Drosophila melanogaster: one gene and its partner. The protein of the gene in region 2 interacts with the protein of the main gene of each other region in a pairwise test. Each region holds a gene or a part of one and is shown on either strand. Other genes may lie near its edges.

Region 1 (3,756 bases), 720 kb from region 2:
GTATTGATCATCGACGAATCCTTTGGGATATACATACCTGAATCTTTTGCCACTCCCTATCGAGCTCGGCCTTCTCGTTCTTCTCCGTCTTGTTCTTGCGCGTCTTGCGACCGTCCTGCATCTTGACCCCGTACTGGAAGGCTGCCTTGGGCAGCGCCTCCTTCGTGCTCATGTAGTCGGAGTACTCCTCCTGCGTGTCAAAGTCCCAGCGTCCAATGGGCCCCTTTTTATTGCCCAAATCCATCTTGGTGTAATCCACCTCATCGTCCGAGTCGTCGATGGCGTCGTTCATCTCCTCCAGCCCGGGATAGCATTCTGCGTATCCCTCGGGTTCAGCGAACCGTGCGGCCATGGCCTTCGATATCTTGGGTGGCGGGGGAATACTGGATATTATCGGCTCCTCTGATGCCTCCGGCGGGCCGTCTCCAAAGTAGGACGGGGCGGACTTGCCTTGCTCCTGGCGGTTTCGCTCAGGTCGCGTGGCAGAAGGTTGGTAGTCCCCTATATCGTCGTAGATATTATCGCCCAAGGGAGCTGATTTCCCTCCCATGTTCGATGAGGACGAGGTGGCGTGCCGACTGGAGCCACCATTGCTAGACGACCCACGAAGATTTTCCACCTCCTTTTCGTAGAACAGCGGTTTGTCCTTGTCGCGCTTTTTGTTCTTCTTGTTGCGACCACCGGCACGTAGATAGCTCAGGATTTGGGACAGCTTGTTGATCACAATGTCATTGGTGGTCAGCGTGGCAACATCCTCTTGTGACACCGGCACCTCGAACTTGGAGCGCTTCAGTGTGGTTGGAATATCCGACTCCCCTAGCTCGTCATCCAGGTCGATCACATAGGCCATCCGTCCTGGAGCAAATAGCTCATTGCGGGGAACTTCTTTCGAACGCCTTGCCTGCACTAGATTGTAAATATTGCGCGCTAGTGCACCATTGATTGCATTAATATCCTCCGACTCGCGGCGTTCCGCTTCCAATTGCTCAGCGGCGGCAGCTGCTTCGGCGAGCTTTTCCCTTGCCACAGCGGCGGCAATCTCCTCCTCTTCCGCTTCCTTCGAGTGCAGCTCGGAGCGCACTTTTTGCAGAAGGGCGTAATCAAGACCCTTCACCAAATGCGTATGCTGGATGTCTCCACCCAAGAACTTGGACTCCTGAATGATACGTCTTCTTCGCTCCTGGGCATCGATTCCGGATTTCATATCTGGCGCTACAGCTCGATACGCATTGGTGCTGCTTCCGTGTCCCGGCGTGCTCACGTTCACGTAATCTGGATTGGCACCATCGCGTCGTTCTCGTGCTCGGTCCCTGTACTTCTCGGACAGCTCTTGCAGCTTCACATCCTCCTGCTTCTTGAGCGCCGCATAGAAGTTCTTTTTCTTGCGACGCAGATCATTCCGCTCGCTGCTGCTCTGACCCTTCTTCTTTTCGCCACTCAATCCTGTCGTGCCGGGGGCGGTGGAGGGCGTGGCAAAGGTAGCAGTGGCCAGAGATCCTCCAGCGGAGGTGCTGCTCGTCCCGGAGCCAGGAGGAGGAGCTCGGGGCGTCGCTAGCAGCTTGCGGAAGTCATCGTTGGTTAGTCGCACCGAAGGCGGTGCTTCCAAGTGGGCATCCGACATGGCGAAGAAAATTCGAAGAAAACTCGCAGAGAAAATCTATATTTACAAATTGTGCTTCTTCTTGGTTTTGCCTGCCAGGGTTGGCTGTGTTTTTGATTTTTCTCCGTACTGTAATCGATAACATGTTTACAGTGATGGAAGATTAGCGTTTTTAGCGTTTTTTCCGAATAATTACGAATATTTGAAAATCGATTCCACATTTAGCATCACTGTTTCTCATAATGTATTGTTATTATTGTTAAACTACAAATGGAGCAGTTTCTTAAAGGTCTGCCCAAAGTAGAGCTCCATGCTCACCTCAACGGTTCCTTGGGCATCAAAAGCCTATGTGATCTTGGCGAGCGATTGTATGGAACCTCTTGTAAAGATTTCCTGAAGTTGTGCGCGCACTTCAGCCGATTTGAAAAGGATATGGATGCATGCTTCGAGAAGTTTGCATTTGTGCACGAGTTGACCTCCACCCGGGAGGGTCTGCGATTTGCCACGGAGTTGGCGATTCGAGATTTCGCTGAGGACAACGTCCAGTATGTGGAAATGAGGACCACTCCTAAGGCAAACGAGAACTATTCACGCAGGGACTACCTGCAGATCGTGATCGATGCAATTAAGGCAGCTAGCGAAACGTATCCAGAGATAACAGTCAAGCTACTGCCCTCCATCAATCGAGCGGAACCAGTGGACGTGGCTGAGGAAACAGTTTCCCTGGCTGTGGAGTTGGCACGGGCTCATCCAAATCTTATCTTAGGCATCGATCTTAGCGGTAATCCAGGGAAGGGGCGGTTTTCCGACTTTGCTCCTATTCTTGCACAGGCCCGGGATAAGGGTCTGAAGTTAGCTATACACTGCGCCGAGATCGAGAATCCATCGGAGGTAAAGGAAATGCTGCACTTTGGAATGTCCCGCTGTGGACATGGAACTTTTCTTACTCCCGAGGACATTGGGCAGCTTAAACAACGAAATATTGCCATTGAATGCTGCCTCACTAGTAATGTTAAGTCGGGAACAGTGCCCAGCTTGGAGGAGCACCACTTGAAAAGAATCATGGAGGCAGATGCACCCAAGGTTATCTGCACGGACGACAGTGGCGTTTTTGATACCACTTTGACAAAGGAGTTTCTGATTGCTGCGGAAACTTTCGGTCTAACCCGTGAACAATGCATCGATTTGACCTTGGAGGCAGTGCATCATTCATTCGCCAGCGAACAGGAGCAAATACAGATGGCGGATAGGGTGGGGAACTACGCAGACATATTGGTCAAATAAAAAAACTGTCACTGCCCTAATTGAAATAAATAAGTTTTTGTATGTAACACCATATATGTACCAACCTGATTCTTATTTGTCAAAAATTTTACCTTTTAATATCATTCTTTTTATTCAATATGTAGAAGTATTTAGTTACAAGTTTGTTCATTAGTTATGTTCATCCTTCGTACGTACATATGTGGCTAATAAGTTTTTATGTTTTTCTCATTTAATATCATTCATAATTGAATTCAAGTTTTCTGTTCATTACTTTATGTTCTCGTTTCTGCCGTTCTGTGTGGCTTAGTTTGGGGGTAGGCATTCAAAATACAATGGAGTACAAGCTTTGGTCAATAGTGGGCTCTTAAACTGCACCAAGTGAAGTGGACGATCGAAATCTAAGGAAACCAAAGTAAGACTTAAATGATCGAAATCTGTAGTTTAATAGCACATTTTGAAACAAACTTTTTGGGTGAAGACATCTTTATAGTCGGACCCTCCACCTACCCAAGCCTGCAGATTAGCTTTCAGTTGAAGTGGTTTGCCTGCCTGGTATTCCCTATATACAGTTTATCTATATTTTATACTTTTAGTTTGGTTTTAGCTTACTGCTGTGTTTCTACATGAGTTTTACTACTTTATCCAGTTCATTCCAAATGTCGAGCTTCAAGAAACGACCGACTTGGGAGTTTATTTATATTGTATAGAAGTGTTTTTACCTCAACTAGAGAGTTCAATTACAAATCTATATATTTATATAAAGGTTTACATTTCTACACTTTGGAAAAATTCTACTAGTTGAAAATGGTATGGTATGGATTTTGCTGTTGTATTCGACTTTATTTAGGAGTTCGGGCATAGGGTTTTAGTATTCTTGCTTTTAAGTATGT
Region 2 (3,756 bases):
CGTCACGTAGACACAACGGCGCTTAATTTTAAATAATTTATTTTTGGAAGCCAAAAATAAACTTGACCGTCTTAGAATTACAATTTGGAACTATGCCACTGACTAGGAATCGCCACCGCCCCGTGCCTGAGCGTCAATTAGGCAGAAATGCTCCCTATCCGTAGACTTAAGGACATGCTTTGGTAGATATCGAAGCACGGAGGAAGGAACCTGGCTCAACATGGCCAAACGCTCCTGTTTGATGCGTTCCTCTTGCTCGGCATCGATCTTGGCCTTCATGTCAAAGTACTGAACATTTTCAGCGGTGGCCTCCGCCCGCTTCCGGTGATTATCCTCAATCATAGCAAGCAAGGAGGCTCCATGGGCCCGGCGTCTGCGATATTCATCCAGTTGCTTTTCGGAATTCTGGTTGATTGTATCCGGCGCCTCCTCCTGCCGCGTAGCCATCTCCGCCCGCTTCATCTGCATTTCGGCCATCTTACGATGCTTCACCTCCTGTCGATAGCGATCCAACTCCTGTCTGGTGCGCTGGCGAGACATCTGCTCCTGCTGCATCTGTTGGCGATAGCGCTCGTCACTCTTGGCCGTGTACTCCGCCTCCAACAGATCCAGCAGCAGATTGTCGCGATGCCGTTTTTTGTTCTGCAATAAGAGTTAGCTTTATTGATTGAATCGAAAAACCGCTTCAAGACTTACTTCGATTTCTAGGACTTGCTGGCCCAAACGAATGCTGATTTCTTGTTTTTTGCGTTGAATCTCCTGGCGTTCAGCCTCCAGCTGGAGTTTCCTGCGCTCCATGTCACTTTGCTTCTGGACTAAGTCACTCAACTCCTGGTTGTATTGAGCTCGCTGCCATTCTCTGAGTTCCTGGTTCTCCTTGATGGACCGCAGCATGTCCTGTCGCTTTTGTAGTTTTTTTCTCTGCGCCTCCAGCTCCTGGGCTCGATCCTCTTCCTGGATTTGCTTCTGCATCAGAAGGCTCAGCTCCCGGTCATTCATCACCTGAGCGTGCTCTTGCAGGCGCCGTCGGCGGTTCTCCTCCATTTGTTCAGCCAAGGACTCCCTAAGGCGGCGTTGTTCCTCCTTAAGAGCCACTTCCTTCTCACGTTGCCTGACCTCCAGCAGACAGCGCTCTTGGGACACTTCCGCGGCTTCCAATTTGATGTCTAGCTGTCGACGACGTTTTTTCTCCTCCAAATTCTCGGCTATATCCCTGGAAATGGCGGCTAGGCGCAGCTGCTCCGCCAAGTCGCGCAGTTCCTCGCAATCCCGCCGCAATTGCTGGCGACGTTTCCTCTCCACAAACTCCGCACGCTTAAGATCTTGCATTTCCTGCGTCATCGCTGCCTCCTCGATGAAGTCGCGGGTTATGGGACTCACTTTGGAAAGCTCCTGGCTGCGGCTCACCTCCTCCAGGTCGTACTGCAATTTTCGGAACAGCTGTGAGCTGAAAAAGTCGTGCTCCTTGCGCAATGAATGAGGCACCTGGAATAGCGGCTGTCCGATGTTGATAGTGCCACCTTCCTTGTGGTTACCACGATTTCTACCGGTTGCCATGGTGGTCAAAACAATGCAAACAGAAATGGAAACGAGAAACAAAATAAAAAAAAAAAAACCAATATTTATCGACTGGCTACTATGAAAACATTCAATGAACAAATTGTAGTATTTGATTTTATATTTACATTCTTAATTGTGGAGCTATTATGAGCAATATACATTTGGTCGCAATATATGTATGTACATACAAGCAATTAAATTCAGGTCCTTTGTCAATATTTTCGGTGAATGGCAAAAACGATCTTAAAATCACCATTCACTACGAAAGTTTTACTATAAAAGCAATTTAAAATTTAAAATTGTTGGTCATTAGATGACTATATATATTTTTATATATTTTTTTTCAAAATCATAGTTAACAAATTGAATTGATAATGAAGGCGAAAATGTTAAATGCGAAATGTTCTCAGTTGTTGAAGGCAGTCGGGAAATACTTCTTGTCCTTCTCCACGATGCTCTCCAGAAGATCGTCGATGTCAGTGTTGGGGTAGCGCTCCACCCATGACTGGATGTACCCCTCGTGGGTGGGCTCGTAGGTCTTCAGCTGGACCTTTTGGTCCTGGCCGATCGCCGTGTTGGCCTGGACGAGAATCATACGCGGCTTCTTGTGCGCCAGGCAGATATCCCGCCACTTGGCCCACGGATGCGATCCGCTCTCGTCGACCTTCGAGTAGTGTTCGTACATCTTGGAAGCTGCCTCGATGTCGGCGGTGGATTTGTACACCTGCAGCTTGGTCAGGAAATCGCCCAGCGCCTTCCTGCCCACGGTATCGATCTTGCTGCGATCCACCGTCAGCAAAAGGTTTTTACCCTTTTCGGTTTCCTCGACCTTAACGAGTCCTTCGCCTGCCTCCAGCAGCACCTTCATGATCACGAAACGAGCGCGAGAGTGCGCCTGGAGCCACAGCTTGGACTTCGGGTTGAACATTTCCAGAGCCACACCCATGCCGTTCCAGATGAGACTCAGCCAGTTGACATAGATGATGTTGTCCTGCTCGGCTTTGTCCTTGAAGCCAAAGATCTCCAGGATGTCACGCTGCAGGGAGAGATACAAGCCCACCGCCTCGGCGCGGCATTCCTCGTACGAGGAACCAATTGCTCCGAACTTGGTGTCGTAAGTTTCTCCAGGAAGATACCACTTGGTGATGGGTTCACCGGTGACCAGGTTCTTAGTGTTCTCCTTGTCAAAGTTGTACACACCATTTTCGTCGATGCGGAATAGCTTGCCACTACCATGGCCTAGGAGTTCATGGAGGCCCACTTGCACCTCAAAAGCCTTCACCTTGTACTCTTTCATCAGAGTTTGATCCTCCTCGGTGAGGAAAGGAATGGGATCCTTGCGGTTGATGTTGGCCAGCACATTGCCCAGCGAGACGTTCTTGAAGCCTTCATCCTGGCGGATTTCGTCGTAATTGGGAATATTGATGCCCGCTGGTACTCCGCTGCCGGCAAATGTGAGGACATCCAGGGATGTGAAGTCTGGCTTCAGGTAAGAGTCCTTCTCGTAAGGCTCCGTCCAGGGCAGGTACTCTATTAGTTTCTCGGCGCGGTTCACCAGCTCGGAGAATTTGGCCGAGCTCTCCTTGTTCACCATGGCCACGAAGCCCTCGAATTCAGCCCGACCTCCAGCAGGATCCCTGTATGTCTCAATGAAACCAATGTAGGTCTCGATGACAGGTCCCTTGTCCTTGATCCACCAACGCGATCCGTTCTTGTGCTCGTCCAGCGAGCCCTGTTCAAAGGATCGGACATAGTGCTCGATCATCTTGGACTCGTTTTCATTGGCTGCGTATTTCTGGGCCTGCAGCAGATGCTGGTTGACGCGCTGAAGCAGCTTCTGGTAATCACCGCGTGTCACCCTAAACTTGTTGCCATTATACTCTTCCAGCGGAAGTGTGATGCCGTCCTGCGTGGACTCCGCCACGGAGCCCAGCTTTACATCGTAGACGGTTTGACCATTTTCAACTATCTTGAAGGTCCGGCACATGTACGGTTCGATACGCTTTGAGGTCAGCCAAGCGTTCACGATCTCGGAGTCCTCCTTGGTGCAGTTATCCGACCAGTAGGTGGTGATTCCGTCGGGAGCAAAGCCCAGGATCTCGTTACGCGACTCGAGCGCATAAATCAGATTCTTGACCTTCTCGAAGATCTTGCCTACGCGCGGCTCATCGCTGTAAGCAGCGGATGCCTTTACTA

The links.
Region 1: the proteins of CG7352 (region 2) and beag interact in a two-hybrid assay, tested with the Drosophila melanogaster proteins (one large-scale study listed by BioGRID).

Annotation. Positions count from the first base shown.
Region 1 is NT_033777.3:9,063,369-9,067,124, forward strand, and holds the start of beag (beag), read right to left. Parts: upstream 1,711-3,756; 5' UTR 1,622-1,710; coding exon 38-1,621; intron 1-37. Other genes in the region: Ada (adenosine deaminase), read left to right, coding at 1,871-2,884.
Region 2 is NT_033777.3:8,345,565-8,349,320, reverse strand, and holds CG7352 (uncharacterized protein), read right to left. Parts: upstream 1,603-3,756; 5' UTR 1,558-1,602; coding exon 697-1,557; intron 643-696; coding exon 103-642; 3' UTR 25-102; downstream 1-24. Other genes in the region: DppIII (dipeptidyl aminopeptidase III), read right to left, coding at 1,967-3,756.